Tamandua tetradactyla: one gene and its partners. The protein of the gene in region 2 purifies or fractionates together with the protein of the main gene of each other region. This does not show direct contact. Links are inferred from orthologs where the notes say so. Each region holds a gene or a part of one and is shown on either strand. Other genes may lie near its edges. The genes, in order: HAT1, NASP, ASF1B and ASF1A.

Region 1 (7,812 bases), on a different chromosome or scaffold from region 2:
ATTCTTTAAATAGCTAAATGATCTTGAATCCAAATGACCTCAAGATCCTACCAAAACTAATTCATACTAATAACAGAACAATTTATATCTAAACACTTTTTGTGAAATTCCTACTCTAAACTCTAATGGGACCATACTCCCTGGTTCTCCTCCTTCTCCTTCCTACTTCAATTGTGGATAACACTTATATATCAGTCCCTGATCCTCTGCCCTATTTATTTTATAATTACTTCCCCTAATTACAAGGTTTCATCCACCACCTATGCAAATTTGTATCTCCCCAAATCTGACTTAGTAGGATTCAATTATTTAGCAACCAAATTTAACCAAAAAAAAAAAAAAAACACTCCCAAAATAGAAGCCTTGCATTGTCAATTCACCTCTATGCTAAAAATGCCAAGTTCATATTCTTTTCTCTACTTCCACATTTAATACCAAATTTAATGAATTGCTCCCTTACTAAGTACCTGGCATTGTGTTTCCTTTCCATTTCCCCAGCCTTCAGCCACTCCAGGTCATTATCTCCCAGTACATAGTTTCAATAGCCTCTTAGCTGATCACCTTGCCCATTTCCAATCTCTCCACTCTTTATCCAACCTACACAAAGAGCTGCCAGAACTCACCACTTCAATTTATCCACTCAGAAACCCATGGTGCCTTCCTACTGTTTCAAATCTAAACCCCTGGGCCACCTGTTCTAGATAGCACAGTAAAGAAGCACTTTGGTTTTTTACAAGACCCTAGGTGACAAGATATTTTCTCTAACTTTTTAGCGAAATACAGTTGCCATTAGCTCCTTCCATATTTCGGTCTCTCAAAATTCACCTCCAGTTTCAAAATCCTACAAGCAGGGCAGGCCACACTGGCTCAGCAGGCAGAGTTCTCGCCTGCCATGGAGACCCAGGTTCTTTACTCAGTGCCTGCCCATGCAGGGGGATGCGGGGGGGATTCTGCAAGCAGTATTCCGTGAGGGTTGAGTATGGGTTCTGGCATTTGATTTGAATCTTGCCTCCACCACCTAAGAACTAAATGACATTAACCAAGTCATATAACATATCACAGCAATAATAATTCTACCCCACAATATAAGGTTGCTTGGAAATTAACAAAATATCCTTAAAGCACCAGGCCAACGTCCAATATGCTGTAAATGATTAGTAAATGTTAGCCATTGTCATTATTGTCATATGGCCTCTCTGATCTGGGAAAGTCGAATTGCTTGCTCTACAGTAGGCCATGCATATTTGCCCTCACTATCCTTGACTCCTCAACCATAGTCCATTAGAGTTGGAAGGTACCTCAGAAAGGAGTTTGTTCAATCACCCGTCCCTCTCCATTCAAGTCTGGGTGCAATCCTCCCTTCTGGTTGTTCAATTTGGTATCTTTTACCAAACCAAATACGAGTGCATGGCACACAGAAAATGGTCCTTAGTAAGTTATTTGAGTAAATATGTTGAGTGCTAAAGAAATATGTAGTAGTATTTCTCTCTCTGCTACCCATAAAATATTAATAAACCATATACATCTGTAACAAACTTGCTAAACAATGCCCTATAGCTTCAAGCAGCTAGAGTTTGAAGAAGTCAAACAAGGAATAAAATTTTAATTTGTTATATGGTGGCTGTTTCAGTTGATTCAAACTATCTTGTATATGGTGCTGCTTTATACCTTCCTAAAGGTAGGTATCTGTGTCCTATCCCTCTCTTATCTGTCAATAATACCTAGGTCAACACTTAATTAGTGCTAAATACTTGATTATGAATTCCAATTTCCATATATCCTTTATGTCCCATTGAGCCTGATAGGAGAAGCCCAGAAAGGCTAGATAGTAAGGGTGCAACAACCAGATCGTGGCAGAGCTGGGAACTGAACCTAGTGCTCCTGACAGCTAGGCTGGTGTGCCTTTTACTGTATCGTGCCACATCTCAAGTTACTTCTTCTATGCATATTCAATCTAGAAAATAAAATTAACGATATCACATGAACTTCTCACAAAACAATTACATATAGTCATATGATGTGGTTAGTACTGACATATTTTTAGCTGTTCTCAAGATTCTTATGGGGAATAAAAGTTTCAAGCCATAAATGGAGCCTTTCTATTATAACTACTTTTTGGAAAAGGTGCTTTCCTTATCAGATTTTACAAAATTTAAGATCGCCATTTTCACTAATTCTTTGTCATGAACTACACATATATATGGTCATCTATGCAACCTCCCCAACAATAACTTAAGTATAACCACATGTCTCAGATAAAAATGTCATCTATTCCAGGCTCATCAGCATATGTTAGAATCTGTTCCTAATATAGAATCATAGACTTTTAGAGCTGGAAGGAACCTTGGAGATCGCCTCTCATTTTACAGAAGAAACTAAGGCCAAGCAGAAACCTGCTCAAGGTCAAAAGGTGCCTACGTAAGAACCCAGATACAGAAAAGAAAGCTCTCAAAAGAAAAATCAGAGAAAAACACAATATGTAATGAAACACTTTAGTTTACCTCCTTTTAAATCTATTTCTTTAAAAAAAAACTTTTATTTTGAAATAATTTCAAACACAGGAAAACTATAAAGATAATGCAGAAACAGTATATAAAACCCCAACATACACCCCAGGGTAAATAGATTTACTATCTATTAGCATTTTACCACGTTATATCAGTCTATCTCTAACTTCTAAACGTGCGAGAGTAAGTTGCACACATCATGTTCCTCTAATACTTAACACTTCCATGTACAATTTCTGAGAACAAGGACACTTGCTTATGTAACCAGCTTAAGCACAGCTATCGAATTCAAGAAATTTAACATTGATATATAAAGCATACAGGCCATATTCCAATTTTTCAATCATTCCAATAATGTCCTTTTAAGCATTTTCTCCTCCATTATCAGCTCCAGTCCAGGATTACATATTACATTTAACTGTCTCTCTCTCTCTCTCTCTCATTTTAATTGTTGCAAATTTATACAACATAAAATTCCCCATCTAAACCTACTTTTTAAGTACAACTTCCTAAGTAGGAAACGTCTGAATTTTAAGAAAAGAGAGCAAAGTAAAAAACTAAGCCTCAATCTTCTTTTTTTTCCAATATCTATAGCCAAGTCACTGATACTAAAAGCTGAGCAAGTAGAGGTGGATCCTTGCAAGCATTTTAGAGAGTAGTATTTTTTAACAAAGTCCCAAAGGCCTATGAATTTTAATGTAAATAAGTAGAGGGGAAAACAAGGCACACACAAATTAAAAATAGCTATAGCTATAATACTCTTACCTCTATAACACTTTACATGGTGGATTGCTTATACTTAGGAAAACTTCACAAGCAGGCAACTTTTAATGAAGGAAGAACCGTAGTCACCACACAAGAATGCCAATACATTTTGAAATTTCATTTTAGGCGCTGCTTAAGGAAAACTGGAAATTCTACTTTTTAGTCCTTTTCTTTCCACATGTCTTATACATATAAAGAAAAACAAAAATTTGAGGAAAATATTTTATCAAAACTTGATAAAAAGGAAAACCTTTCATCAAAACCTTATTATAAGCTATGCTGTCTAGCCATGTTTGTAAGAATGCACAAAAATAGACCATTCCTCAAAGTTAAAGCCTGACAAGAGATAAAAACTTACACAGTTGCTGTGTGAACAAAAAGCAGGTTACAGAAACCAACTTACCTGTAAGAATATGTTTCTTAACTCATGAGGATCACCTCGCTTGGTTGTCTGCACCTGTAAGACAAAATTAAAAGCCCGTTAATGCTTCACTAAAGACCTATCTCTTCAGACTAGAATTCACATCTCCAACAGTGTTCTTTTATTTTTTATAATGGCATTTGGTTTCAAACAAACCAAAGCACTAACTGCTGAAAACAGCTGTCAAATTGGAAATGCATGACTGCAGGGCAGAATGACAGATGTGACAAGCATAACATATAGCAAATCGATGGGCAAGGCTTCTTCTGAACTGGAAAGGGAAGGCAGTCAGGATCCATCTTTACTGCCCATCTACTAGCAACACAGTAGCAATCACCCACCTTCAAAGCAAGAGGCTATCAAGAATGGAGCAACAGGAAAGTTAAAACACCCAAGTTAATCCCACGGCCTATCCGGTATTCTTCCAGGTGGAAAGCAATACCAGCACATAATTATCTCCGCGCCCCCCTCTTTCCCCACCCAACCTAAACTATGAGAGATGCTACAACGTTTCCAAATGCTTTCCACATCCTGCAACCTGGAGCCTCAATGAGGACCCAAATTATTCAATTGCTCGCCCCCTCCCCCACCACAATACATCGATGCCTTAGGCATCCCGTGCTTTACCAGCCACTTCCTCCCACCCCGCCTCCGACGCCGTTCTACGCCGGGCTCACAGACCCATGCACTTAGGGCAGAACACTACTCTTCCTTTTCCAACCCGTGGTCCTCACTAGCCGGTCAAACTCCCAATCCCTCCTCCCTCCCCTCCCCCAGCCGGGCATCCTCTCGCTCCGGTCCAAACCCCGCACAGCTCCACCACCCGCGAACTGGAGCCCCAGGACGCGCTATCTAAGAACTAGGCAAAGAAGCAAATGGAAAGAGGTGGAGAGCTGGAGGGCGGACCCCCGGAATGTCTCATATGCAATAAAGACAGCAGCAGAGTTGGAGTCACCTTGACCGCCATGCTGTGCTCGGAAGCCGAGGACGAGCGAGTGAGCGAGCAGGGCCGAGCTGTCAGGGCGCGCGCGCGCCGCCTCCTTGGCGGCGCCCGCCCTCCCTCCGCTCGCCGGCGCCGCGCGCGTCCCCATGCAAATGAGCTCGGGGCGGGCGTCGTGGGAAGTGGGATCCGCGCCCGGCCGCGAAGGGAGCTGGCCCGGTGGCCGGCGAGAGTGCGGGCCGGGCGGAGGAGGGCCCCGCTGCCCACGGGGAAAACTGCCCGGCGAGCCCCGGGATGCCGTGTCGCTGCGCATTGCAGACAGCTGAGCGGCCGCCAAGTAAGCCCAGGTTTTTTAAGGCCTCTTTAGTGGGTGTGGTTTTGGGCGCCAAGTTCAGCCTAAGTCGTTTCCCGCCTCCCCCCCTCCCCAAGCTTAAAGGGCCACTTGGGGCCTATGTTGACTCAGGTTTCTAAGGATCAAAGAGCACGTTCCATTAATAATAATAATAATAAATGAATTGATGACAACTGATTGCAAATATTGACAACAGAAAGATTGGCAGCCCCTCACACTGGGGACAACCTAAGTAAACATTACTGGAGAAATATGCCCCTAAATTGGCATGAGATAAATACACCATGTCTTTGCTTCTTGTACTATTATAATGCTTTATTTAGTAGTAGTAGTCTACTACTAATAAAGTAGTATTCACATACCACATTCCCAGTCACACAAATCTTTGGATGAGGTATAAATGCATACAAAAAACTGTTTTCTTTCAACAAAGTTGGAACTAAATCCTAGCTCAAATTGTCCCAATGTGAATAGAAAGTAATTCTCCATCACTACCTAAATGTAATACCTCTACCCTGAACCAAAATAATGTTTCTAAAACTGAATCTTGCCATTATGACTGTATTGAACTATAGTCACTCAACAAACACTGGGATCTATTAAGTGCCAGACAGTCTTGCTTGTATGGAATTACAAAGATGTAACAGAGTCCCTCCTCTCAGGAGCTTACAGATGGTCCACGCTTCTCCACATCCCCAATTTCGAGTGAATTTCCACTAGGCAAAGGAAATAAAAATGCAGAAAGAGGAGTGGCAAATGGAAATTGTGGATAAGGGAATGCTGTATTACTAGAAGTACTCCCAAGATGAGCTTTTCTGATGCAGTTGTTTCAATTGTCTACCACGGTTACATCTTTCTTCAATCTGTTCAAAGTGCTTTGAACAATGTAATTGGATGTTAAGATGGGATTTTTTTAATTCATATTTTGTCCAACTAAGACTTTATGCCCCTGATACTCTGCTGTATCTTATTTTATGAAGTCTCTCTAAGTAGGAATTTCGAGCATTTCTCCTGAAAATGTTGCTGTTAACCAAATCTGTATTGTCAGAGTGAAAATTTAGGGTTGGACTGGCCACTCCTACCAAGGAAGAAAGCTTACATTTAAACAGAGTACACAACAATAATTAATAGATTTAGGCACCAAACTGCAATGAAAATTTTCTTGACTGAAAAACAATTGATCTTGGAGCAAGTTAAAGGGCTTCATTGGTACCTATCTAGTTGCAATGGAGATGACATGACAATCTAAAACTAAATAAGGCTGCCATGTGGAAAAGAAGAAGAGTATTAAATAAATGTGAATTTTGCTAGATTTTTTCATCTATCCAAATAAAATGAACAGCAATAAACAAAGATATTAAACGTATATGCTATAGGAAATGCACTAAGTGTTGAAAGACATACAAAAGCATAAAAGACACAGCTGCTGCCCTGAAAAACTTTGGAATCTTTCATTCTGTTGTAATGACTGGCTATTAGTATTAGCAGGAGTTAAACCAACTTTAAATTTACCTTTGTCTTAATTGTAGATTATTGTAGTTGGGGAAAAACTTATGATTTACTGCAAAACTAAAAAATCTGTCAAGTAAGATTCATAATATGTTTGAGAAAATGTAGTGGAAATGATTCAAAATTTCATGAGTTTTTAAAAATTACGTGTCAATATGGTAATTCAGAACTCTCTTTAAGTTGCAAATGATATTTGTAAAAAAAGAATTAATTGTAAAGCTGTGGACAACTTTAAGTTGAAAACGTGATGATTAAGACAGCCTAGAAAGAATGGCATTTCAGAATGCAAGATTGGAAGTTAAAGGCTGAGACTAGCTGCAATTGTATTTTCATTGCTGACCCTATAAAGCAGATGTCATTAATAGTCATTTTTTTATAGTTGGTTTCATAAAAGATTCAATATGTACCTTCGCGGAGCTGGGAATTTAAATCTTCCTGTGAAGTTGATGTCCGTGAAAATAATGTATTACCCTCAGATGCAAAACTGAAACGTGGGGTTGCTAGACAAATGCATAGAAACAGTTCTCCACTTCCCAGGCAGCTCACATTATATTTAGTTTGAAACCATCCAGGTGCCTTGTGGGTGTAAGTTAGAATTATACTAATGTCTAATGCTCTATTAAACTAAAATACAGTTATTAAAACAAGAGGCAATTTCCAATGACTGTTCTGCCACAACTCCTGTGTATCTTCTAGCTGCCTCTGATTATTTTACTGACATAAATATATTTTTGTTCCTGTTCCTTTATCCCACACGGCAACTATGGATGCCATCTTGCAAGAAGTAAATGAGGGTGGGACACAAACATTTGGTAGAGCATTAGAATATCACTGACTAATGTAGTTGAGAAGCTCTTCCTAAATTAAAAGTAACACACATCATCACTTTGATGAACTAGATTTTATGTCCCTTATCAACATAAAGCTGATAAAATAAATAGCATGATCTGACTTCGACACATATGCACAAAATATATTTGAATGTTTGGAACTTGCAAATGTAGATTGGTGTTCTAGTCTGCCAAAGCTGCCAGAATGCAACACAACAGATATGGATTGGTTTTAATAAAAGATTTATTTAGTTAAAACATATAGTTCTTCAGAGGAAAGGCAGCTAACTTTCACTTTAGGTTCTCTCTTACACGAGAAGGCACAAGATGATCTCTGCTGACCTTCTGTCCAGGCTTCTGGGTTCCACCAGCTTTCCCCTGGGTGATTCCTTTCTGCATCTCCAAACACCTGGGCTGAGCTGCAAGTGCTGAGATGAGGTATACTGAGCTGCTTGGGCTGTGCTACACTGAACTCTCCCTTTTAAGCT
Region 2 (7,018 bases):
TCTACTTAAGTGATCAGAGTGGTATCACAAATGAGTGAGAGGGTGCAGTGGTAGTTTCGCAGAATTCTCGCCCACAATGAGGGAGACCCAGGCCCCCATATCTCTATCTCTCTCTCTCTCTCTCACAGGCACGCACACGCATGCACAGCAACTGAGAGCCCCGCCCCATCAAGATAGCAGAGTGAAATACTTCAGTGTTCCTTCCCCCCACAGCAGCTCTTAACCAGTAAAAACTGGCAAACATCTTCCTCAAAACTCCAGAAAAAAATTTTAAGGCGTGCAGAAACAGGGCCTGCATCAAATCAATTTTAAAAGGCTATTTAAAAGAGGTAGGATCTCCTGATACCTTGACTAGGCCTTCCCCCAACCCTCATCAGCTCAGAGACCAGTCAGTCCACACTCAGAATACAGATTCCAGGTCCCTGTTCCAGAAGGAGTAACACTAGTGCACATGTTAGGAGCTTTATACTTCTAGCCCAATCTGTCTAGCAGTGGCCCAAGGAACTCACCATCCCAGAACTTGCCCTGACACAGCAGCTCATGAACTCTCCTGCAGAATGCTGTGGAACAGCAGTCATGTCATGCTATCTGGGCAAAGAGAATGTGGCTATAGGACATACAGTGCAGTACCCAAGACACCTTGAGGAACTCTTTCCTAGGAAGAGAGGACATTTTTATCAGTTTAAATGGGGGAATTCCTAGGACCACATGTACATGTGGAAGACATGACAATGCACAGAAAGGATCAAGGACGCCCCTAAGGTTTAGACCTGGAGCTCTTCTCAAAACTCATTTTAATGGATAAACCCTGAAGAGGACTCCCACAATGGAATTTAATGCTAGGAAGCTGGAGATTAGGTCAATAACTTTGGTTAGACAGATAACCACCTGAAAATTTGCAAGAGCTATTTGTTCCATGATTTTATCTTTAAAAATATATATATATATTTTTTTCTTAAGATTGGGGGGCACAGATCCGTAACTGGAATAAGTGCTAGAATTCTTGAAGAAGTACCTGCAAAGCCTCACGTAAGAAGTTTTTTTTAATAGATATGATTCCCAAGCCCAATCTATTCCAATTGTCTTGAATCAATGGGGAAAGTCAGGAAACAGTTTGAAATTTAATTTGTATCTGTGATTTGAGAACCATCGTTCTGCAAAAACCCCATAAAGAAACCACTCAAAAGGAGATTGGTAGGTTGCACAGAGATAAACAAATGCTGGTGGCTATAAATATACTAAGTATGTGATGTAAATAACAAAGATTCAATCATAAAAATCTTATAGCAGCCTTCTTCCTGTAAGGGAAGCAATTACAGAAAGCAAGTGCAGAAAGTTAGAACCAGACCTCTAAGAAATAAAGGAAATATTGTTGTCAGACCTACTAAACAGAAAACAGCACTTAAGGTGTTTCCCTTCAATGTTCATAAAATACCTTATGCTAGAGTGCCACTTTTGCCGCATTCAAAGCAACCCCATCGTCTATCATTGCCTCTGGGTCTCATACGGTGCATACTACTTACTACCCATTCACCTAGTAACTAAACACTGGGAGAGCGCCACACAGCTTCGCATCCGGATCATGTTTCCCCGAAGCAGCCAAGTCTCCCACCAACACCTCTGAAGTCTAAAAAAAACACGATGCTCCCTACCACAAGTAGGGGTGGGGGCTCGCCGAGAGCGCCAGAGTACAAGATAAGCGTGGTGGGGAGTCAGCATCACCGCGCCCCACCGCGGCAAGTCCAACGCTCTAGTTCCAAGCCGCCGCGACCCCAGACAATGGAGTTTTCCCGCCTCCTCGGGGCCCCGCCCCCTATTCCACTAAGGGCGGAGAAGCAAACTTACGCACACAAGACCCCGCCCACCGAAGGGTCCGCCCACTCCCGACCCCAGCTTCTTTCCTCGTGCAGGGTTCTCTTTTGGCGCCAAATCTCTGTTGGTTATTTTCCCGGGTTGCCTGGAGACGCTAACCCGAGGCGCGCGCCAGGAGTGCGGAGACAGTAGGGGAATGAGGGCAGGACAGCGCACCGGAGCCCCGCCTACCCGCCGACAGCCCCCGGCCAGGGGAGGAAGGAGAGGGGCAGGCGATGGAGACAGCCGCCGATGCCCCCGGCAAGATGGCGGCTGCGAAAAGCGGGGCAGGGGGCGCCAGCCGACAGGCGTTACCGCTAATGCGCGAGGCTCTCAGTAAACATGGGCTTCTTTAGTGCTCAGGTCTCCCCGAGGAGCTATGGCGCCTCATGGGAAGTACTTCCAACCACCGGTCTGTCCCTCCCGTGGACCTCTGTCCGCCACCCCCTCCCCGCGTACTGGCCAGTGCCTCCAGCTCTCCACGGTCCCGCTTACTTGTCGGCGGGAACCAACTCCGCAGCGATGGCGGCAGTGGCTGTGGACTCTGCAGCCATCGTTTCCCTGAGGCGATGTACCAGCGGGCGGAATGGAGCCTGTGAGGAAAACACAGATTTGGGAAGCGAGACACTTAAACACGGATAGAAAATGGCAGATTGGAGACCCCGCGCGGCTGGGGCCCTCTTATATACCAGGGCCCTTCTCCCCGCCCATCCACTTCCGGGCCCTCCCCTTCGAGTTTAAAGGGCCAGGGCTCGGTCCTTGTCTAACCGTAGGAAACCCCACCTCCGCTGGATAACTCCGTGGGGTACCTTCCCTCCCAGGCTCGCTTTCCCCCAAAAAAGTGCAATTTCCTCCTTCTCTAGCAAGTCGTGTAAAAGCAGAATCGGAATCTTGGGACTACAACTCCTGACAAGGCGCCAGCCAGTGGCTTCGGCAGAAGGGGAAGCCCGTGCAGCTCTGTATGTTTAGTGCGAGTAGCTGAGGGTCTCCTTCAGCCCTGGATACTTGGGTAGGTAACTGAGACCTTCTGTCCTTCTTCTCGGTCGTAACGGATGGACACGCAAGAGCGGAGCACCGGTAAAGCTGCAACGGCTAGAACTGATCTTAGTGAGGGACGCGTGGCTTGGAGCCGCAGCAACAACTGACGCACATAATACAGTTCTAGGATTGGTTGCAGCTGAAGCTACCGCGCTTGATTCAAAGCTCAAAGTGACCGCGAGAAGCGGGTGGCTCCTCCTTCCGGACCCGCCCCTTTCGGCTGGCCCAATCCGCTGACGCCATCCTCAGGCTCTACCCAAACTCCAAATCAGATTGGCTCTAAGTCTTCACGTCCACTCTTAGAGCTATGGTTTATCGCGTTCCTACTGAGTGCGGAGGTGCTGTGCTTAGATCCTTTAAAACTATTAGCTGATTTTTTTAAATCTCGACAACAACACTGCTTGTGAGATCGGTATTAGCCTCATTTCGTAGAAAAAGAAACCCAGTTTCAGTGAAGGTGTGACTTCCTCAGCAAGTTGCAAGACAAGTCGGTCATTGAAAACAATGCAGTGAACCCCATTCCCGCATCTGGCTAAGTGGAGCGTAGCAGGCAGCATGAAATGGCTGCTCCTCCACCTGGGGCATCATCAAGTCCCTTCCACCACGGCCCTGTGTCCAGTGATCAGAACAGAGGTTCTCTTTCCGTCCAGGATCTTGCACGCTGGCTGAGAAATATACCTAGGGAGGATTATTATTTCAGTCTGTCAAGGCTCAGGCGGCTTGAAATCGTTGAGGCTATGGAGCTGGGCCTGAAAGTGCCAGTTCTCGTGGTAAACAGACGTGGGCTCCTCAATTATTTGTACAATTACCTGAGCCAATACATTTAATCCCCTAAAGTTAAACGCAAAATGATTCAACATTAATATACACCTTTAAGGGTACTGTGAAAATTAGAATTAATGCTCACTAGAACAAGTCGCATTGTGTCTGGCTTGTGCTAAGCACTCACAAATTACCACTACAGTCTGATAACATGGTAGCTGGAGGAATGGAACAGGGCTTTTTCTCAGGCCTAACACAAGCCCAGTTACTTGTGTAATCCATTATCTGTTAAACGAATATTCACTGAGCACCTATGATGTGAAAGGCTCTGTTCTGGGCCCAGGGACAAAAGACATGGTCTCTGCCTTTAAGGAACTCAATATTAAGATAAATATATTTGAAAATATATTAAAATATATTTTAAATTCATCCACTTCCCTCAGTCTTTACTTCCACTACTGTAATCCAGGCCTAGTCACCATAATCCCTTGCCTGTAGTACTGCGTAACTTCTGGTCTCCACTTTACCCTCTCCAACCATTCTCCAGAAAAATCTTTTAAAAATGTACATGGAGTGGGCCATGGTGGCTCAGTGGCAGAGTTCTCACCTGCCATGCTAGAGACCTGGGTACAATTCCCATTGCCTGCCCATGCAAAAAAAAAAAAAAGTACATCATGTCATGTCATGTCACTCCCCTTCAATAGCTTCTTATGGCTCTTAGAAGAAACACTGAGCTCCTTATCGTTGCCTACAAGAACCTACATGTTATTTTAAGTGTTAAAACTGAAAGGATTATATAACAACATAGTGAAGTAGGGAGAAGAGTTCTAGCTCAAATGTGGGAAAATACAGAAGAATGACGACGATTAGCTTTGAATTTCATATTGTATAATAAATAGTAGATGCTCTGTGGTTGTTTTTAGATATTCCTTATTTTTAAGGTACCATAAATTGTCTTTTATTGTTGCAGTTTTTGAAGTATGTAGTTCTTTACATGTTTTGATTAAAGTTTTATCAACTACAATTTTTCAGTTAGATTATTATCAATAAATCAATTATGATTAAAAATGAAATAAAATTTAAAAAGGATTCTACATGTTCTGGCCTCTCCAAATTCATTTCATATTAACCTTCATTCACTATACTTCAACCATGCTGGTCTCCTTTCTGTTTCTCAAACTATCCAAACCCTTTCTAACTCCAGTGTCTTCCTACCACACTACCTAGAAAGCTCTTTGGCCAGTACTTGAAATGAGACCTCATCTCACATGTTACCTCCAAAAAGGCCTTCCCTGACCACTCAATCAAAATTAGTTTATTTCTTTCACTGTACTGATCAATATCTATAGTTACTATTTCTGTATTTATTATAACCCCTTCTAAGTATATAGGCTTCACGTGATCTTTTGTGTCTTATTTATAGCTAAATCCTCATTCATACAACAGATATCCAAATGAACTTCCTAAATAAATAAAGCAATCATAATATAATCATAACTAGAACTAGAAAGAAGATTACTTATTCGTTTCCTGGCCCATGCATCCAATGGGGGGGGGGAATATATATAATAAGAAAAGAAACAAACAACATGATTGACAAACACACTGAAGGCTTTTTGAGTCGGACAGCACAAAATAACTGCAAAAGGGCTGGACCCAAGGTTCTGGGAAGATGGCAGAATAGAGGGTTCCTGGAAGATGGTGAAATAGGATAGGTCAAGTTCACCCCTACTCCAAGGAACAGGTAGAGAAGGGATGGGAAGGTGACTAGGACAACTGTTTCAGGGTGTAAGTGACCCAGAAAGATCTTCTACACCACATAGGGAGGCCCTGGTTACAAAAGCTGAAGATACAGAGAACTGGAGACGATCCAACTGGTGCAAACTGTCTAACACACCCCTTTCTAAATGGAAGCCTGGAACCCTCAGGAGTGCATGAACGAGGAGGACTCTACCTCTGATTCCCCCACTCCACAACCTGCTCCTGTGCTCCAAGGTTGACCTGAGCTGCACCACATACCCACAGCCCCTGCACTGTACCTCTACCAGCCCCCCAACACACACCTCATACTCAAAGGCACCAGCATTCCTAACCTGCGCCTATACCTGTGCTGCAACAAGTTACTTCACTGTCGTGCCCCACATTCTGCTCGACGTCCATCCTGCAAATTCAAAGCTTTAGACTACTGAAGGAAGTCAATTTACAAAGTAAACCAATCAAGATATTTATATGTGGTGAAGGCAACAGAAGATCATTAAGCATATCAGCAGACAGATACAGCCCAGCCTAATGACCAAATTGAAACACCAGAAGAGACACACACTTTGGAACAACTAGTCAAAGAAGTTTGTATAATTCTACTAAATAAAATAAATAGGATGGCTAATTACATAAAGAAGATCAAGAAACTAGAAGAGCATAGAGAGGAATTTGAAAAAACAAAATAGCAGATATCACAGAAATTAAAAATGCTTTAGGCCAAATAAAAAATATACTCAAGACACACAACAACAGATTGGAAGAGGCAGAAGAAAGAATAAGCAAACTAGAGGACAGGACAAATTGATTTCAAACACTCAAAACAACAAATGACAAAAAAGATGGAAAAATTTGAGTTGGATCTCAGGGAAATGATGGACAAAATAAAGCACTCAAATATAAGAATCATTGATGACACAGAAGAAGAGAAGAACAAAAGGCTAGGAAGATTAGTTGAGGATATAATGGGGGAGATTTTCCCAACCCTTATATAGGACAAGAACACACAAATCAAAGAAGCCCAACAAACTCCAAATAGAATAAATCCAAATAAGCCTTCTTCAGGACACATACTAACCAGTCAGTCAAATGTTAAAGAGAAACAGAAAATCCTGAAAGCAGCGAGAGAAAACAATCTACTACATACAAGGGAAACCACATAAGACTGAGTTCAGAATACTCAATTGGCACTATGGAGGTGAGAAGGCAATGGTATGATATATTTAAGATCCTAAATCTTAAGAGAAAAAGAGAAAGTCTTCCAGTCAAGAATTCTGTACCCAATCAAATTGCCATTTGAAACTGAGGGAGAGATTAAAATTTTCACAGACAAACAAATCCTGAAAGAATTTGTCAAAAATAGAACAGCCCAATAAGAAATACTAAAGGGATTTTCTGCCAGTTAAAAAAAAAAAAAGAGGGCGGGCCGCGGTGGCTCAGCGGGCAAGAGTGCTTGCCTGCCGTGCCGGAGGACCCCGGTTCGATTCCCGGCCCCAGCCCATGTAAAAAACAAACAAACAAACAAAATATAATAAAACAAGAAAATGTTTAAAAATGTTTCCCTTTCTTCCATCCTTCCTTCCTTCTCTGTCTTTCCTTCCTTTAAAAA
Region 3 (7,933 bases), on a different chromosome or scaffold from region 2:
CACAGGTCTGAAGGATCTGGGTAACACTCTGGCTCAGTAGGGGCCAATCTCCAGCATTGCCTTATTTGCAAGGAGAAAGTGAACTCTATTAACTTATTTTTGGTAGGAATCAGTGACACCACCAGAATCAAATTTGGGGGAAGAACAAAAAAACAAGCTAGCCCTGATCTCACTTACCCAAACCCAACTCTTAACTTTGGTATATTTCCTTCTGCCCTGCCCCATAACCACTGGGATCCTATATATGTCCATTTGCCAATGAGACCAAAACAGAGCTGGACCCAATGTATACAACAGGCGCTCGATGTTGTCTGACTGAAGTCAATAATTGTCAGCAAAACCTGCATAAAGACTGGATTGGTGTTGAGTAGGAGAGAAAACATACCATGAGGTGAGCCCACTGAGGCTCCCTCAACGCTGTCCAGAGAAACTGAGGAATTAACTGAGGGCCAAAGTTAGAGAATCTGATAGAATCTACCAACGACATGATGACTGAAGCAGGGCCTACAAACTAGAATTTGTTGAAAAGGGTTTCAAGCAGAGATGTACTTTAACGATTTCAATTCTGAATATAGAATAGAATGAAATGTGGGACAAAGTCACACACACCTCCACATCTACAGTTTACAGGGCACAATTACGCCCCCCCACCCCAACACTGGGTACCTAACCTTATGGGCAACTTCAAGGGTAATCTGAGTGCATGTATCACGGTGTCTTTATACCCTAACGTTACGGTCTAAGCCACACCTAAGATGGACCTCTGTTATCCCTGAAAACAAAACTAAAACCAATAATATGGCTAAAGATGCATAAAAAATCATTATAGCTCAACTAGCTGGAGTGTCTGTTCCCCAGTTGTTTTTGTTTTAATCTAGCACCTCTAGCAGGCCTTTTCCTATTTACCTTTTGTCTTTGTTCATAGCTACAGAGATGAGCCTTGGCCTTGCCACAGCTCTGGGTCAGAACATCTGGTTTCTATGACTTATTCAACCAGTGTCCGCTGAATTTCTCAAGAGGGTGCAGGGAACACATCTAATGTATTAAATGGGGACCCACACCTTGGAAGCGTCCACTTCCAAATGCTGAGAAAGACAGCAGAAGGAGTCTGGAGCCCTTAGGAAATGGGACAGCTAACCAACTAGGAGTTGTACAGCTCATCGGATTTTCAGTTTGCTGGTACTGAGAGGTAACAAGACTGACAGATTTCTCCAGGATTTCAGAGAGGGCTTCTGTTTGGGAGGCAGGAAACGGATTCTGTGCTTTGTGGGAAGAAGGCTAGGAAGAGGCAGAAAGCAGGTTTGCAGGTCTAAGTCACCGACGGCCCTAGGGTGGAACGAGGGTCTGGGTTTCCAGGCCAGAACAGGATTTCCAATCTGAGCTTCTCTGAACAAAAGCTCTATCATCTGGCTGTAATTATACCAGTGCCCCCGTCTCTGTTTTGAGAATCATGATTTGGCAATAAATTCCCCGGCTGCTCATGTTTATGTGTCACCTCTAATCTTACCACTGGGATAAGAGCAAAGAGGAAGAGCCCTGCACTCAGAACTCAGAGACGCACCATGGTCCCAACACTCCCACAAACTGCCTTTGCTGTCACTTCAGAGGAGTCATTCCATGTCCCTCTACTAAGAAATTTAAAATCAGCTTGCTGACTTTGGCCTTTCCTGCCCTGATTCCATATGCAGATTAGAAAAAAAACAATAGGTAGGAGCTTCCTAGGAATTAGAGTATTGGATAAGGACCTCAGAATCATTTTTAATTCCAGGAGCACAATCGGCTGAATGAAACCTGATATCCTGCCATCTGGGAAGGCGAATCCCTTAAACTGGCGAATCCCTTAAACCGCTAGCTCCTTATAGCTCCTCCTGGCTTTAAAATGAAATCTTCCTCAGTGTCATTCTACACTTTATTTATTTATTTACACCCTGCCTTGCTCCAAAAGGGATTTAACTTAGCCGATTCTCTAGTCACACATAGACTCCTTAATTTGAAAAGAAGAAAATCCAGGGAGACTCACCTACTGGCTCATCCCAGGGCAAATGCATCTCAAACAGCATCAGCTACAAGCAAATCCCAGCAGCAAGCTTTATAGGCAAAGTGCCCACCAGCCACCCAGTGGTGCTCCTTAGTAGACCCCGCCTCCCGGGTTTACAGATTTTTCACCCCCTCAACTGCTGCTGCTTTTTGTTTAATCACCCGGAGAAGTTCTCTAAGGGGAGAATTTCCTCCTGAAAGCACCACTTGCCTGAGAGCTAGTTAAAAGGCTTCTTGGGTGACCTTAGCCATTCGGTTTTAGAATTTTACAGCCCTTTTCTTGAAAGGTCTTTGTAGACCTTTCAAGGTCTACAACTGCCCCTCTAGTGGAGGCCTTATCACCACCGTCTTTTTTCTGTGGGAGTCCTCCGAGCCACCCATTTTCTACGTAGAGACCCTCTCAGCCTCTGTTCTTTAACCTGCTCAGACCCTGTGGCAGTAGAAGCCAGAGCTGGCCTTGGGAGGTCTCCAGGGGGAGGTCGGGCTTGGCCGTCGGGGGTCCCCACGGGGCGGGTGAGGTAGGGGCTGGCGGTGGGGGATTTCCACGGGAACGTCGGGGTTGGCTTTGGGGGCTTCCCTCCAGGGAGACTGGGGTTGGCCGGGAGGGGGTTGGTAGGGGGAATGGGTTCTTCACCGGGACGTCGGTGGTCTACCAAGGAGTGATCCTTGGGGGCCTCTTGACGGGAAGTGCGGGTCAGCCCGGCCGGGGGGGGGGGAGGCCCTACACAGGCCCAGCCTCACCGTCCGCCAGGGCCTCACTGCACTCGAAACTGATCTCGAACCGGAATGGGGTGTGGAAAGGACTCGGGTTCTCCAACACCGCCACATTCAGCACCGACACCTTGGCCATCGTCGGGCCGGGGCCGGGCCGCGTCCGTGTCCGCCGGGGTCAAGAGCGCAGCCCTCCCACGGACACCTCCTCAACCTCCTTAAGCCGACTGAAGTGCGCGCTTCATCCGCGCGCCGCCTTCAAATAGCCGGCCCCGCCCTCCGGCCAATCACCGCTAACGCTCCCCGGCGGCGCGAGCCCGCCCTCGGCCAATCCTGGAACTCCAGTCGGCGCGCGCTGCGATTCCCTAGACCAATCAGCGGAACTCCCTCCCCGGCGTGCGCGTCGCGGGGCGGGACCACCTTTTGGCTCCTGAGGATGTTAACCCAACCCCCCCAGTGGGGAACCAATCCCCAGCGTCTCCGATGCGGACGTTAAGGGCGGAGATGGGCGGAGTCAGCGCGCGGGGCTCCCGCTGACCAATCCCAAGGGTTCCAGCACAGGCGTGGTGGGCGTTCTCGTCGCCCCGTCCTTCCGGGGCACGCAGCCCGTGGAGGGCATCGCCACCAACTGCCAAGCGGGGGCGCGCGACACTCGCTGAAGAGAGCGGAAAGGGCGGTGCTCGCTTCCGTGGTGACTGACAGACGGGAGAGGGTGAGAAAAAAAACAAAAACGAAAGCTTGCTTTCTAAGAGATGATTGGTTGGCTTGACTGCGGTAGGCGGGAGGAGAAAGCTCGTCTCGTGATTGGCGAGATAGGACCGGAAGTCGGTTGCGTCGGTCGTGAGGGGAGACGAGGAGGCGCGCGGCCACCTCGGCTTCGTCTGCGGGTGAGCGTTGCCGGGAGCCTCTGTGAGGAGCTCCAGGCTCCTCAGGCCCAGCGGCCGAGGGTTCCGTGGTGAATATGGTGAACGCTGACAGGCCCCCGGGGGAGGCGGAGCGGCGCCCGGCTTGAATCCCGTTGTCGCCCCTTCGGGGCCCGCCGCCCGGGGAGCGGCTTCTAATAGACGGTGCTCAGAGCGCCCCGTCGTCGGTGCGAGTCAGACCGGTCGGGGTTTGAGCCCGTGCAAATAATGCACGGACACGACCCCGCAGTTCTTCCAGAAACTTCTCTCCACTTCCCGGTCAGGTCCAGACCGCCGTCGCCACTGGCCGGGGAGAATCAGGCTTCCACGCCCACCCCCTCTGCTTCCAGCGGCGCTGTCCAGGGGAAAAACAACGCCCGCCGTTTTCCCAAACCGACAGTTTTTTAGAAACCACTTATCTTTTTTTTTAATTAAGTGGCGAACAAAAAGAAATGGGGGAAATTAATTTTAACGATATCCCTTATTTAATTCAACCAGGCCCAGATATTACCCCAACGAGTAATTGGTTAAAAATACTAATAAAATATCTCGTGTTCTGCAAGAAAGAAGGTTTGGAAATTCCTCGCAGCCTATCTGCAATCGGGAGGCTAAATTCTCACTAAATTTTCACCGGATTGTGTTGATCGAGCTCCACTTTTCATCCAGTTGGCAGCTGAAAAAGTAGTTTCACGTGCCCCAGTTGTTCAGATCCACCAACCAAATCAGGCATCAGTTTTTCAGTTTGGGCTTTAGCTCGTTAAAATCAAGCAATAACCTGACCTCAGTGCCACAGTGACAAGAGCCACATTCACAGTGCTCGGGCGCTGCTGTGTTATGGGTCAGAGCAGGACTAAAATAAATTACATCAGGCCCCTCCCTTGCCTGAAGTGGGAATGTTTATTCCAGGGGCGAGAACGTGCTTGACGTACTTCCTACTGTCCCAACTTCCATCCAGCCAATCCCATCCTCTTTTTGTGCGTTAGAAGCTCCACAAGTGGTCCCCAGCTCAGAGGCTCTGCCCTAACCTCTTCTCCCAGCGCTTGGAACCCTGGCATTTTCTCATTATTCAGGGCTCAGTTCAAGTGTCCTCTGCTTTGAGATATCTTTGCACGTGTCCTCTGATAGTGTTCAAACCCTCCTTTGGTATTCTAAGCCTTCTAGGATGAGGTGTAAACCCACTTTTCTCTTCCCAGACCATATCGACGACACTTACCCCATCCACCACCAGCGTCCCTGGTCATCAGCTGCCAGCATTAGGTCTGTGGTGCCGGTGGAGAAGGTGGTCCTGTCTATAATGTGTTCCCAGACACCTGGCGGATTGGTTTTAAAATGTAAACCAGTTCAGGCTGTTCTGCTTAAATCCTTCAGAGGCTTAAACTTAGATCAAGCCTGAAGATCTTCAGTAGGGCTTGGAGTTCTTGCACAGTGGCCTCAGCGTCACTTCTGGACTCGTTTATCACTCTGTCACCACTCTCAAGCTCTGCTGGCTTTGTGTTCCCTCCTTCCACACACCAGGCTTGTTTCTGCCTTGGGGCTTTGCTTTTACTTTTCCCTCTACATGAAATGTACTCTCACTGGTGGTTGCTCTGTGTTCTTGTTCTCATCATTTATGTTTTCAGCACAGAAGTCTTAAAAGAGATGTCATCACAGACCAACCTATTTAAAGGAGTCTTTCCTCAATTATATCACCCTGTTTTATGATCTGAATCTTTATGCTGGTTTTTAAATTGCGCTTGTATGTCTCATCCCTCAGTTGACTGAAAGCTGGTTGAGGGCTGGGACCGTAGCTTGTTCAATTTCTATTACCAGACCTTAGTATGGGCACCCAGTGTCTTCAGGAGGAGAGATCTCTATAAATGACTTTAGCGTATACCTGGAGTGTGAGAAGCATGTGGGAAGCATGAACTATAGTAATATGCAGATGAGCCCTTTTGTAATATTTCAGGAGCACGCGCAAAATATAAGGAATACTGTAACAAAACACCCTCTACCCGTTACCCAGATTAAGAAATAAAACGTTAAGAGATGCCATGAAAGGGCTTACCTTAACCTCAAACCCATTCTCCCTTATCCCTCCAATGTAATTACAGCCCTGAATTTGGTATAAATTTTTGTGTACATGTTTTTGTATATTTTTATTTTTATTTTTTTTAGTTTTCAAAGCACTCTTCAACAAGTAGTTACAGGACAGATTGCATCTTTATTTTATATGCAAGTGTCTCTGAACAATATATGGCATTGTTTTTCATTTTTGGCAATTTTACATAAATGGTAACCATGTAAAAAAAGATACTTCTTAGAAAGGCCTTCTTGCAAGGTCGGCTCTTGGCTGGCATCTGAGAACTTGAATTTCGGGAGGGTTCTCACCATTCCCCTAAATGATAAGAGGGGCTCATTGTGTCTAAAACTGTATCAACAGTGTGGTTTGTTGAACACCTATTGTCCTTCAGGGAATTGGGAGTTTTGGTATGTGCCAGTATGTGATCTGCGCACATCCTCACCCCCCATCCCCTGGTAAAACCCCCCAAACTCCGCATCTGTAATGAGCTTCCCTCTGCATTTCACACGTGTCATCAGTACTCATTGCTGGAGGAATTCAGCATGTCCTGTGTGACTCCACCAGGGAGAAGACTCTGAAATTGTGCCTGGGTTCCTCCAAACTTTGTCCCAGATGCCTTTTCCCTTGGCTAATTGTGCTTTGTATCCTTTCCCTTTAAGAAATCGTAACTGTGTGCATGACTGAATGCTAAATCCTATGAGTTCTCTTAGTTTTGGAACACCGAACCTAAGGGTGATCTTGGGGACCCCTGATACACTATCATAATTTTCCATCCAGACCTGGCTAGGACTAGGGCAAGACAAGAAAGGCACCTGGGCTGTAAGATTTAGAGAGGCACGTGCTCTCAGGACCTGTCTGTTGCCTAGCTGGTACTCCTGTGTCCCTGTGGGTGTACCTCCTTAAATTCCGCCCTAGACACCTCACTTGCCTGCAGTCCTGGCCCTGCCTTCTGCAATTTGCTTTGCTCTTCCAACGCAATGCTTTTGGGTTCATCTGTGCTGAAACAGGTATGTAGCTTTAATCTATTTTTACTGCTGTGTAGCTGCACCGTTCAATATGGTAACCACTAGCTGCTTGTGACAATTTAGATTTAAATTAATTAACATGAAATAAAGTGAGAAGATGAATTCTTCAGTCTGGTTAGCCACATTAGAAGTGACAGTAGCAGTCTGTGGCTGGTGGCCGCTCTGGGGCAGCATAGGTGGACTACATTTCCATCATCACAAGAAGTGTTTCGGGCAGTGTTGTTACCCAGTACTCTCTTATGACTGTCACTCTCCTTACCTGTTCATCTTTTGGTTGATGTTTTGGTGGTTTCCAATCGTTGACTCTTACAAACAACTCTGTGGTATACATTGTTGCATGTCTCCTTGTGCACAAGGAGTAGAAGATTGTCTAGGCTATTAATCCCCACAGTTGAAATTCTGGGCCCTTGGTTATGGGAATATTCACCTTTACTAGATATTTCCAATTTGTTCTTCAAAATCACTATACCGTTTCTCATTCCCATCAGCAGCATGTGAGTGTGTCTAATGCTACATGTTCTTAGCAGCCCTTGGTATTGTCAGGCATTTTAATTTGTGTCCTGATGGGTGTAAATTAGTGCTGTTTCAGTTTGCATTAAACCTTGGTTACCAGTGAGGTTGAGCTGTTTTCATGTTTATTGAACACTTACCTTCTGTGAATTGCCTGTTCATGTCTCTGCCCATTTTTCTGTACGATTGTTTTTGGTTTTTGTCTTGTTGAGTACAGGAATTCTCACATGGGAGGCTTGCCTTTTCGTTTTCATGGTGTCTCTTGATGTTCAGAATTTTAAAAACATTAGTATTTATTTTAATTCATCAAAATTACCAGTGTATTTGTGGTTTATGTTTTTTGTGTTTTGCTTAACAAAAGCTTCTCAGATAAAAAAGATAGCCTAATATATTTTCTTTTGGAAGTTTTACTTTTTGTATTTCGCTTTATCCCCTTGCAATTTGGATTATTGTTCATGATGTGAGGTAGGCCTGTGATTTAATATTTTCCCACATGCATAAACCATTGTCCAGTTCCATTTACTTACCAGTCTGATGGTTCTCAAAGTGTGGTCCCCTGGAATTCCACCAGACTGTTTTAGGAGGTCTATGAAGTGAACTTTTTCTCCACAATAGTGCTAAGACATTTGCCTTTTCCTCAGTATTGATATTTTCACTGACAGCTCAAAAGAAATGGTGATAAAACTGCT
Region 4 (7,016 bases), on a different chromosome or scaffold from region 2:
GACGGCATGTGGGTCAATGAAGACACGTACAGGCTTGGCGACCTTGGGTTAAGCACATCCAGGGTCTCCTAATTCCCAGGCTGACAGGGCAATCTCGACTGAAATCTTGAATCTTACATTTTTTGTAACTGACCTACCCCTAGATATGAGCCTTATATTAAAAACAAACAAATTACTTTAAAAGCAAATACTCAAGACTTTTTCTAAAGTAGCTAAAATTATTTATAAAATGAAATTTTTTCTTCAGAACATTCTGTAGTTTAATTTCAAGTATAGATTTTATTTGAAAGAACTACAGTGTAAAAGTTTGTAGCCTATAAGGATCCTTTGCTTAAGTAAAAATTTCCCTAATCCACACAGCCTCTAGGTGGAGTACACAGGCATGGCACCTTTTTTGAAAGACTCCTTCAGTATGACTCAGCTTAAAGTCTTTTAAAAATACTAATAAGTGCCCAGTAATGGTGTACTCAAAGTGAGGAGAACACGTGGCAGTAGATGTATTCTTGGTATCAGTATTGTAAAAACCCTGTGTGTGATTCACCTGGGCTCTGAATGGATCCAAAAATGGAAAACAGTTCCACCTCCATGAGTGGCGGGTTTTAACCATCCAACATAACAGCCCTGAAATGACATCCTGAACTAGCTTCCTTGTTCAGAGCTAATGTCTAAAATGGAAGGCATCCCTTGAAAATTCCAGTAATTTGAAGAATTTCTAATGCCTAAAAACTGTAGTGTAAGTTGGAATGGACTGATCTTATGGTTTCTCTTTGCCCATTTTTATATATACTTGCCAGTAAAAAGGCGAAGTTATTGACTGCTGGGTATGAAAAATGGGCCTAGTAGTTGAAATGCTCCTAGTTGTATTATAGGAGAGTAATCAAGTGGTGTCTGAGTAATACGTAAAATACCCTTTATTTTATCACTGGACCTATTTAGAGATTAGTTTATTTTAATGAAGAGATAATCTTTCAAAATATACCTTACAAATATATATATATATGCTTTATATCTGTATTAAAACTCTGTGGAAAGGCATTAAAGTATACATTGTGATTACCTTAAAAAGTGAAATGGGGGAAGACACCGGGTATAGAAAACTGTTACTTTATATATGTCTTTACCATTTTTAAAAACTTATTACAATGGGCATATATTGCTTTCATAATTTAAAAAGTTAACACCCTACATGAAATACATTTTATAGAGATTAAAAGTTAATTTTTAAATGAATTAATGCTTCACGTGCCATTATTAGCACAATTGTTTTAAATGCTTTTTGTCAAGTATACATGTAAGTTCAAAGAAACGCCCCCTATTTAATTGTAAAGTTAACATTGATGAGGTTAACATTTTTTCAAACTTTGATAATAAAGCACTGGATTCATTTAATAAATTCAAGAAAGGTGAAGATTAAGACCTTGCTAAGTTTTAGCTTTCTAAATACGTATTACTATACTCATGTTAAAAAGAAGTTATCTTTTTTAAAGACCTTAAAACGTACTTAAGAGAAAACAGTAAAAATGTTTGCATCGCCATCAGGACTTTACCTTTTATTTTCTAGCCCACTTTTGTGTTTTAAGTTCAGGGTGTATTCTGTATCTGTTTGGATGTGGAGTTATTTTAATTTGATTTCAACACGTTCCTGCAGAGTCTTCTTTCAGACTATTTAGAAGCCAGTGATTAAATGTCCTGGAAATTTATTTAAATATTTTTACACATTTCTGCTCTTGGGTTAAATGTAACTTCCTAGCTTAGAAATGTTTTTCTTCCTGAGAGAGAGGAGAGAAGATTTTAGTCACCGAGGAGCAGGGTTCGCGAGGGTCGGGCGAGCCTGGCGCGGGCATCCCGGGGCCGCCGGGAGGAGCCGCCGGGAGGACGCGCCGCCGCCGGGCCCGAGGGGCCGAGCCCGCGCCCGCCTCCCCCGCTGGTTGGTCCAGGCAGCCAGAGATCAGCGCGCGGACAGCCTCGCTCTCCTCCCCGAAGCGGCGGGCATGGCCACCGCGAGCACAGGGCGATCCGGCGCAGCCTCCCGGCCCGCGTCTGCCTTCCGCTCGGGGCAGGAAGGTGGCAGGCGGGCGCCGGCTCCCGGGCCGCGGCCGGGTGCGAGGAGGCGCCGTGACGCCGGGGTCAGCAGCCCCAATTCGCTGCTCCCGGTAAGATGGCTCCGCTCCGAGCTCGCCGGCGCGGCCTCACGCCCTCGCCTCTCCTGCAGCCGCCGCCTCCCCGGGTCGCACAGGCAGCTCGCGGGGCCGGCCCGGCGCGGCTCCCTCCCGCCAGACAAAGCTGGCAACATGGCTCCCTCCGCTCGAACAAGTTCCTCGCAACTTGCGCCTCGGCTGCGCCGGCCGTCGTCCCTCCGCCGGGAGTTTGCCGCCGCCGGGCGCCGAGCACCGGGCGCCGCGAGGCCCGGCCCGGGAAACTTTCAACGTCTGCAGCCGCAACTGACAGCCCGGCGGGCGGCGCCGCTACTCACCTTCAGACAGGTCCTCGATGCACTCGAAGGTGATCTCGAACTGGAAGGGGTTGTAGAAAGGAGAAGGGTTATCCAGCACCACTACATTGTTCACCTGAACCTTTGCCATATTTTGAAAAAAACACAAACAATGGAAACCGGGGCTGGTTGCGGCACAACAAAGTCTAGCGCGCGGCCGCTCGGAGAGCGCAGACCCCCACCCGGCGCGGCCCGACGTCGTGCAGCGGCGACTTGAGAAACTTTTTTTTCCTCTTTTTATTTACACGGGAGCACTCCACAGTGTTTTGCAGCTTTCCTATTTCACTAAACTACAGCCCATTCTGCTCTGATAACTAGCAGCGTTGGCCGCGATTGGCTGCACCCGAGCTCTGACCCTCCTCCTCCAGCGAGGGCTTCAGCAGCGAGCAAGATGGGCTCCCGCTCCCGAAATGAACTCGGAAACTTTAACTGCGGCTCCACCTGCTGGTGCGGATTAGGACAAAGGCGGAGAACAAAGTGAGTGGAATACGGGCTGGGAGGCCCGCGCGGAGGCCGCCGCCGGCGGGGGGGGAGGGGAAGGGGGCCGAGGGGGAGGGGGCGGGGGCGGCGCAGGCCCCGCCCTCGGCCCGGCGGCTCCCGCGCCTCACGTCGGGCGTGGCCGCGGCGGGGACGGGAGCGGGTGTTGACTGAAGGGGGCGTGGCCACGGCCGTGGCCGTAGGGGCGTGGCCTCCGGGCGGAAGAGGGCGTGGCAACGGCAGGAGGGCGCGAACCCTGGCGACGCCCGCTCGGGTCTGCTTCGAGGCTGTTTTGCTTTGTTTTGTTTTGTTTTTTTGAAAAGGCGTACTCTTTATTTGTATCTAACGGCCCTGCCGACTCTGCTGAATTTAGCCTCTGAGATTTAGTTGTGTACACTAGCGCAGATCAGCTGTCCATGTATCGGGTAGTATTTGGAATAGAGAGAAGGGTTGGTTGCAGTGGAAATAAATTGTATTTTATCGATTCCTGCCAGCTCGAAAGGAGGAAAGCCATTTTGGAAATCTAACGCTTGGCTAGTATCGGCTTTGGGGCACATAACGGTGTCTTTAGTTAAATAGTCACAAAACAAAAGGCGAATAGGCGTTTTCCCACACACACACGTCACTTGAAAATCTGAAAGGCCAATCTTTGGGCTGCACGTGGGCTTTCTTCCTCCCGCTTGTCATCAGGAAAGTCTTAGAATGAAACAAAGGTTACTAGAGATGTGACCACCTACAGTTTTATGCCATTTATGGGGCTTAAAAGAAGGAAAAGAAAGTGTCAGGAGACTGAGGGGCAACAAACGTAATAGAGAAGGAAAGAGTGGAGAACACAAAGGCTTACCAAGACATTTGATCTTCAAAAAATTTAGGAATCGTTAGTAAATTAAAAAATGAGTGGCACCACAGACAAGTTCTGAACCCTTTGCCTACCTGTAACCACTTCGGGTTTGAACTGAGAAACCTCAGTTCGTCTGTGTTACTTGACTACCATTGTGGGGAAAGGAGGAGCTTTTACATTTGTGAGCCTGCTGGACTGTTTCTGTTTAACAAGTAAGAGAGGTATAAAGGGTTGTTTAATTACCTGCTATTCATAACCATCATTTTCCCCCATAAGTTTTGTGAATGAAACCACCAAACTTGGCTTATTAAATTCAGAGAGAAAAATATTTCTTAAGTATCGTCGATGCTGAACGAGTTTTCTCTTGATGTAGTGGCCAGAATTTTGATTTCTCATTCTTCGGATATTGTTCAGGCGTGAGTAGGTCACTTTTGATAAGACTTCTTCACCTGAAGCTCTTTGGAAAAGTAATGTGGAACAGCTTATGCCAGGCCTCTCCACATTAAGGAAAACCAGTTAGACTAGAGATCCCATTTTACTTTTAATGGATTAAACTGCCAAAAATAGAACAGGTTTCCTCAACCCATTTGTGATTACCATGACTGATAAACTCTATACTCTCTTCACTCTTATTTGTGCTTATCGTCACACTAGCTAAGATAAAGGGCGAACTGCTGTGTGCTACTGTCAGATATGCCGGGTATGGAGCACGGAATGACCATTTGAAGATTAAAATATGACTGCTTTTGGAATGGGGCATGCAGTTGTCTGATTATTGCAGGTACTTTAAGAGAAGATTCTGATTTACTTGCTTTAGAAAAATGATATAAACTTCACAAAATGAGGTGCATTTGGTAGTCTGACCATAGGTGTGTCATAATGAGACCAGTCTTACCACAAAATTCGTTCTTGGAGGATCTGTAGTATCAAGAATTGAAAAGATCTATTTGGTTAACACTAGTTTGGTTTGGCTTATTTTCTTTAAATTCTTCTTCCAACATGATTTATGCTATAGCGTGTAAGGAGAAAAAAGTCCTCCCTAATGGTTCACTGGAAGCTGCAAGAATTAGCTTCATGCCTCTTATCCTGCTTCTCTTGTCTTAACTCTTTCATTACTGCTGATCAGAAATTTTACAGTCTTTGATTTGAGCACACTTCCCAATAGTTTTCTCACCAGTGACAGTACCTTACAGGAAAGACTGAAGGGATTCCTCAAATATGCCTTGGCATATTTCTAAATTTTATGGGCATGCCATGGGGAAAAATTGTAAAAACATCACTCTGGTTTGAGAGGCAGTCAGTAGGACCTGTTGGATGTCGTCGTGATGACTCTTGAAAAGCTAACTGTATTTAAAACAGATGAGTCACGTTGAATATCTTCATTTATTAAATACAAAAGGGGGGCCACATGATGCTTGGAGGGCTGCATCCCCAAATCTTTTCTCTCTGTACAATTTATTTGGGAGCAGGAACACTGAGAGAGGTAGTTTGGGATGTAAGATGAACAAAGCTAGTGTCTAGGACATAAATAAGTGAACCTACATTAACTGTAAAGGTTCTGTTTTGTTTTTTGTTTTTGTTTTTCCCATCAGAATGTAAACTTAAATGAGAACCTGTACTTATTTATTTAATCCACATATTGATCAGTTATCAAGTGCCACTTCGGTGGGAACACTGTGGCCGTTCTTCAGAGGAAGCACCTTGGGCACGCTGCTTGCATTCTGAAGAGACAAGATGCAGCCTGTTTCCATGGATCCAAGGCACAGGGTATTTAAAAATTTGAAATTTGAAGTCAAATTGAGGTCACAGGACAAGATGAAATCAAAGTTATCAAAGTTATATTTTGGGCTGAATCAAAATATACTAGAACTAGGAATTAAATCCATCTCATTCCCTGCATGTTGTGGAAGTTATAAGAATGGAAGCCCTAATCTCTTGTCTTTGTTCAAATCCTAATTTCTACCTGAGATAATAACATATGGCTGTGTTGAATTCTCTTTGGATTTGTATTATTGTCACTGTCCTTTTAAAAAAAAATTCTGATGTAAGGGCTTGTTGTAATAGCATCTTTAGTTACTTTAAAAGCCTCCCTATTATTTATTAGTGACATGATATCAAATTTAATGATAGTTTTAAATAAAATTTTCTGTGTAAGTGAAGAATATAGAGATTTCCTTGAGAAAATCAAGTAATTTTGACACAGAGTAGAAAATGTCAGGCATACCTAGACAATTAAAGTTCAGTGAGAATTTTGTATTTATTATATTATTTTTATATATTTTGGCATAATGTTTTCTTTACTATTTGTCAAGAACTTTTACATAACTTGTGTATTTTGAGCCTCACAACATTCTACTATGGTAGGAAGAGAAGTTATCATCATCCCCACATAACGAATGAGGACACTGTTGCTCAGAAACCCACTTCTCTAACTGCTGATCCAGTGCATCCCTACTCCACTTTCCATTGGCTCAAAAAAAATTTAAAGTGACCTTGATGTGTAGAAAAATAGACTGGTATAATTTCCTGAAAGATCCCCACAGCTGGCAGATACTGGTTATTGGTTATGACTCTACTGATGAACTCTTGAGAAACAAAGCTGGAACATTGGCCTAGGTCCTAGGAGTGAAGGAGACTCCTCTGAGGTGAAGCTGTGGGATTCCAGGCCCCCCACAGGCAGCACGCTCCTGTTGTAGAAGGGATGCTAATGGGGAGAGCTATACAGCCTGGAATGCATCTGTATATTTTTATAAGGTGTTGGTGTCTTTTGCATAAAGTGTACTCCTCTGCCTCCATCCCCCCAACACGGTCTCACCTCATTAATAAAAGTATTATTGTTTTGTAACACAAAACAGTGAATACTATTTTGTGTTCATTGCTGCCCACTATTAGTTTCAAGTTTGCTGGTGCTGTACGCTGTGTCTGACCCCTGATCCGCAGCTGAGCTACACTGTTAAACATTTTCTGGATGTCTGTAATTGGTATCAGTTTTATGAAGCACTATTATGGATATTGTTGACAGTTTGTTAGTATAATATCATTAAGTTGTTTTCTAGCCTAGAAAGATTTGAATGGAAATGCCTAATAATTTTTTGTTTCTCGTATCTAGTTTTAGTTTTGTTGTGTTTTTAGTCCTTTATAAATCAAGCTCTTTTTGGACTCATTTTCTTATTAAACTGTCTCCACCTGTAGCCTGTCTCACTTCAT

Evidence for each region.
Region 1: the proteins of NASP (region 2) and HAT1 purify together in Homo sapiens (affinity purification with mass spectrometry; 3 studies listed by BioGRID and IntAct, with this or other methods). This does not show direct contact. The link is inferred for Tamandua tetradactyla from reciprocal best matches to the Homo sapiens genes NASP and HAT1.
Region 3: the proteins of NASP (region 2) and ASF1B purify together in Homo sapiens (affinity purification with mass spectrometry; 5 studies listed by BioGRID and IntAct, counting the BioPlex papers as one, with this or other methods). This does not show direct contact. The link is inferred for Tamandua tetradactyla from reciprocal best matches to the Homo sapiens genes NASP and ASF1B.
Region 4: the proteins of NASP (region 2) and ASF1A purify together in Homo sapiens (affinity purification with mass spectrometry; 6 studies listed by BioGRID and IntAct, counting the BioPlex papers as one, with this or other methods). This does not show direct contact. The link is inferred for Tamandua tetradactyla from reciprocal best matches to the Homo sapiens genes NASP and ASF1A.

What each region holds. Positions count from the first base shown.
Region 1 is NC_135329.1:143,634,348-143,642,159, forward strand, and holds the start of HAT1 (histone acetyltransferase type B catalytic subunit), read left to right. Parts: upstream 1-4,811; 5' UTR 4,812-4,927; coding exon 4,928-4,970; intron 4,971-7,812. Other genes in the region: SLC25A12 (electrogenic aspartate/glutamate antiporter SLC25A12, mitochondrial), read right to left, coding at 3,676-3,729, 4,649-4,660. UniProt on the Homo sapiens protein: Histone acetyltransferase that plays a role in different biological processes including cell cycle progression, glucose metabolism, histone production or DNA damage repair. Coordinates histone production and acetylation via H4 promoter binding.
Region 2 is NC_135328.1:177,644,340-177,651,357, forward strand, and holds the start of NASP (nuclear autoantigenic sperm protein), read right to left. Parts: upstream 3,016-7,018; 5' UTR 2,929-3,015; coding exon of another isoform or gene 2,904-2,928; 5' UTR 2,876-2,903; intron 2,870-2,875; exon of another isoform or gene 2,620-2,869; intron 2,538-2,619; exon of another isoform or gene 2,445-2,537; 5' UTR 2,406-2,444; coding exon 2,347-2,405; intron 1-2,346. UniProt on the Homo sapiens protein: Component of the histone chaperone network. Binds and stabilizes histone H3-H4 not bound to chromatin to maintain a soluble reservoir and modulate degradation by chaperone-mediated autophagy.
Region 3 is NC_135337.1:88,724,561-88,732,493, reverse strand, and holds the start of ASF1B (histone chaperone ASF1B), read right to left. Parts: upstream 3,015-7,933; 5' UTR 2,888-3,014; coding exon 2,779-2,887; intron 2,759-2,778; exon of another isoform or gene 2,021-2,758; intron 61-2,020; exon of another isoform or gene 1-60. UniProt on the Homo sapiens protein: Histone chaperone that facilitates histone deposition and histone exchange and removal during nucleosome assembly and disassembly. Cooperates with chromatin assembly factor 1 (CAF-1) to promote replication-dependent chromatin assembly.
Region 4 is NC_135331.1:179,705,754-179,712,769, reverse strand, and holds the start of ASF1A (histone chaperone ASF1A), read right to left. Parts: upstream 3,011-7,016; 5' UTR 2,583-3,010; coding exon 2,474-2,582; intron 1-2,473. UniProt on the Homo sapiens protein: Histone chaperone that facilitates histone deposition and histone exchange and removal during nucleosome assembly and disassembly.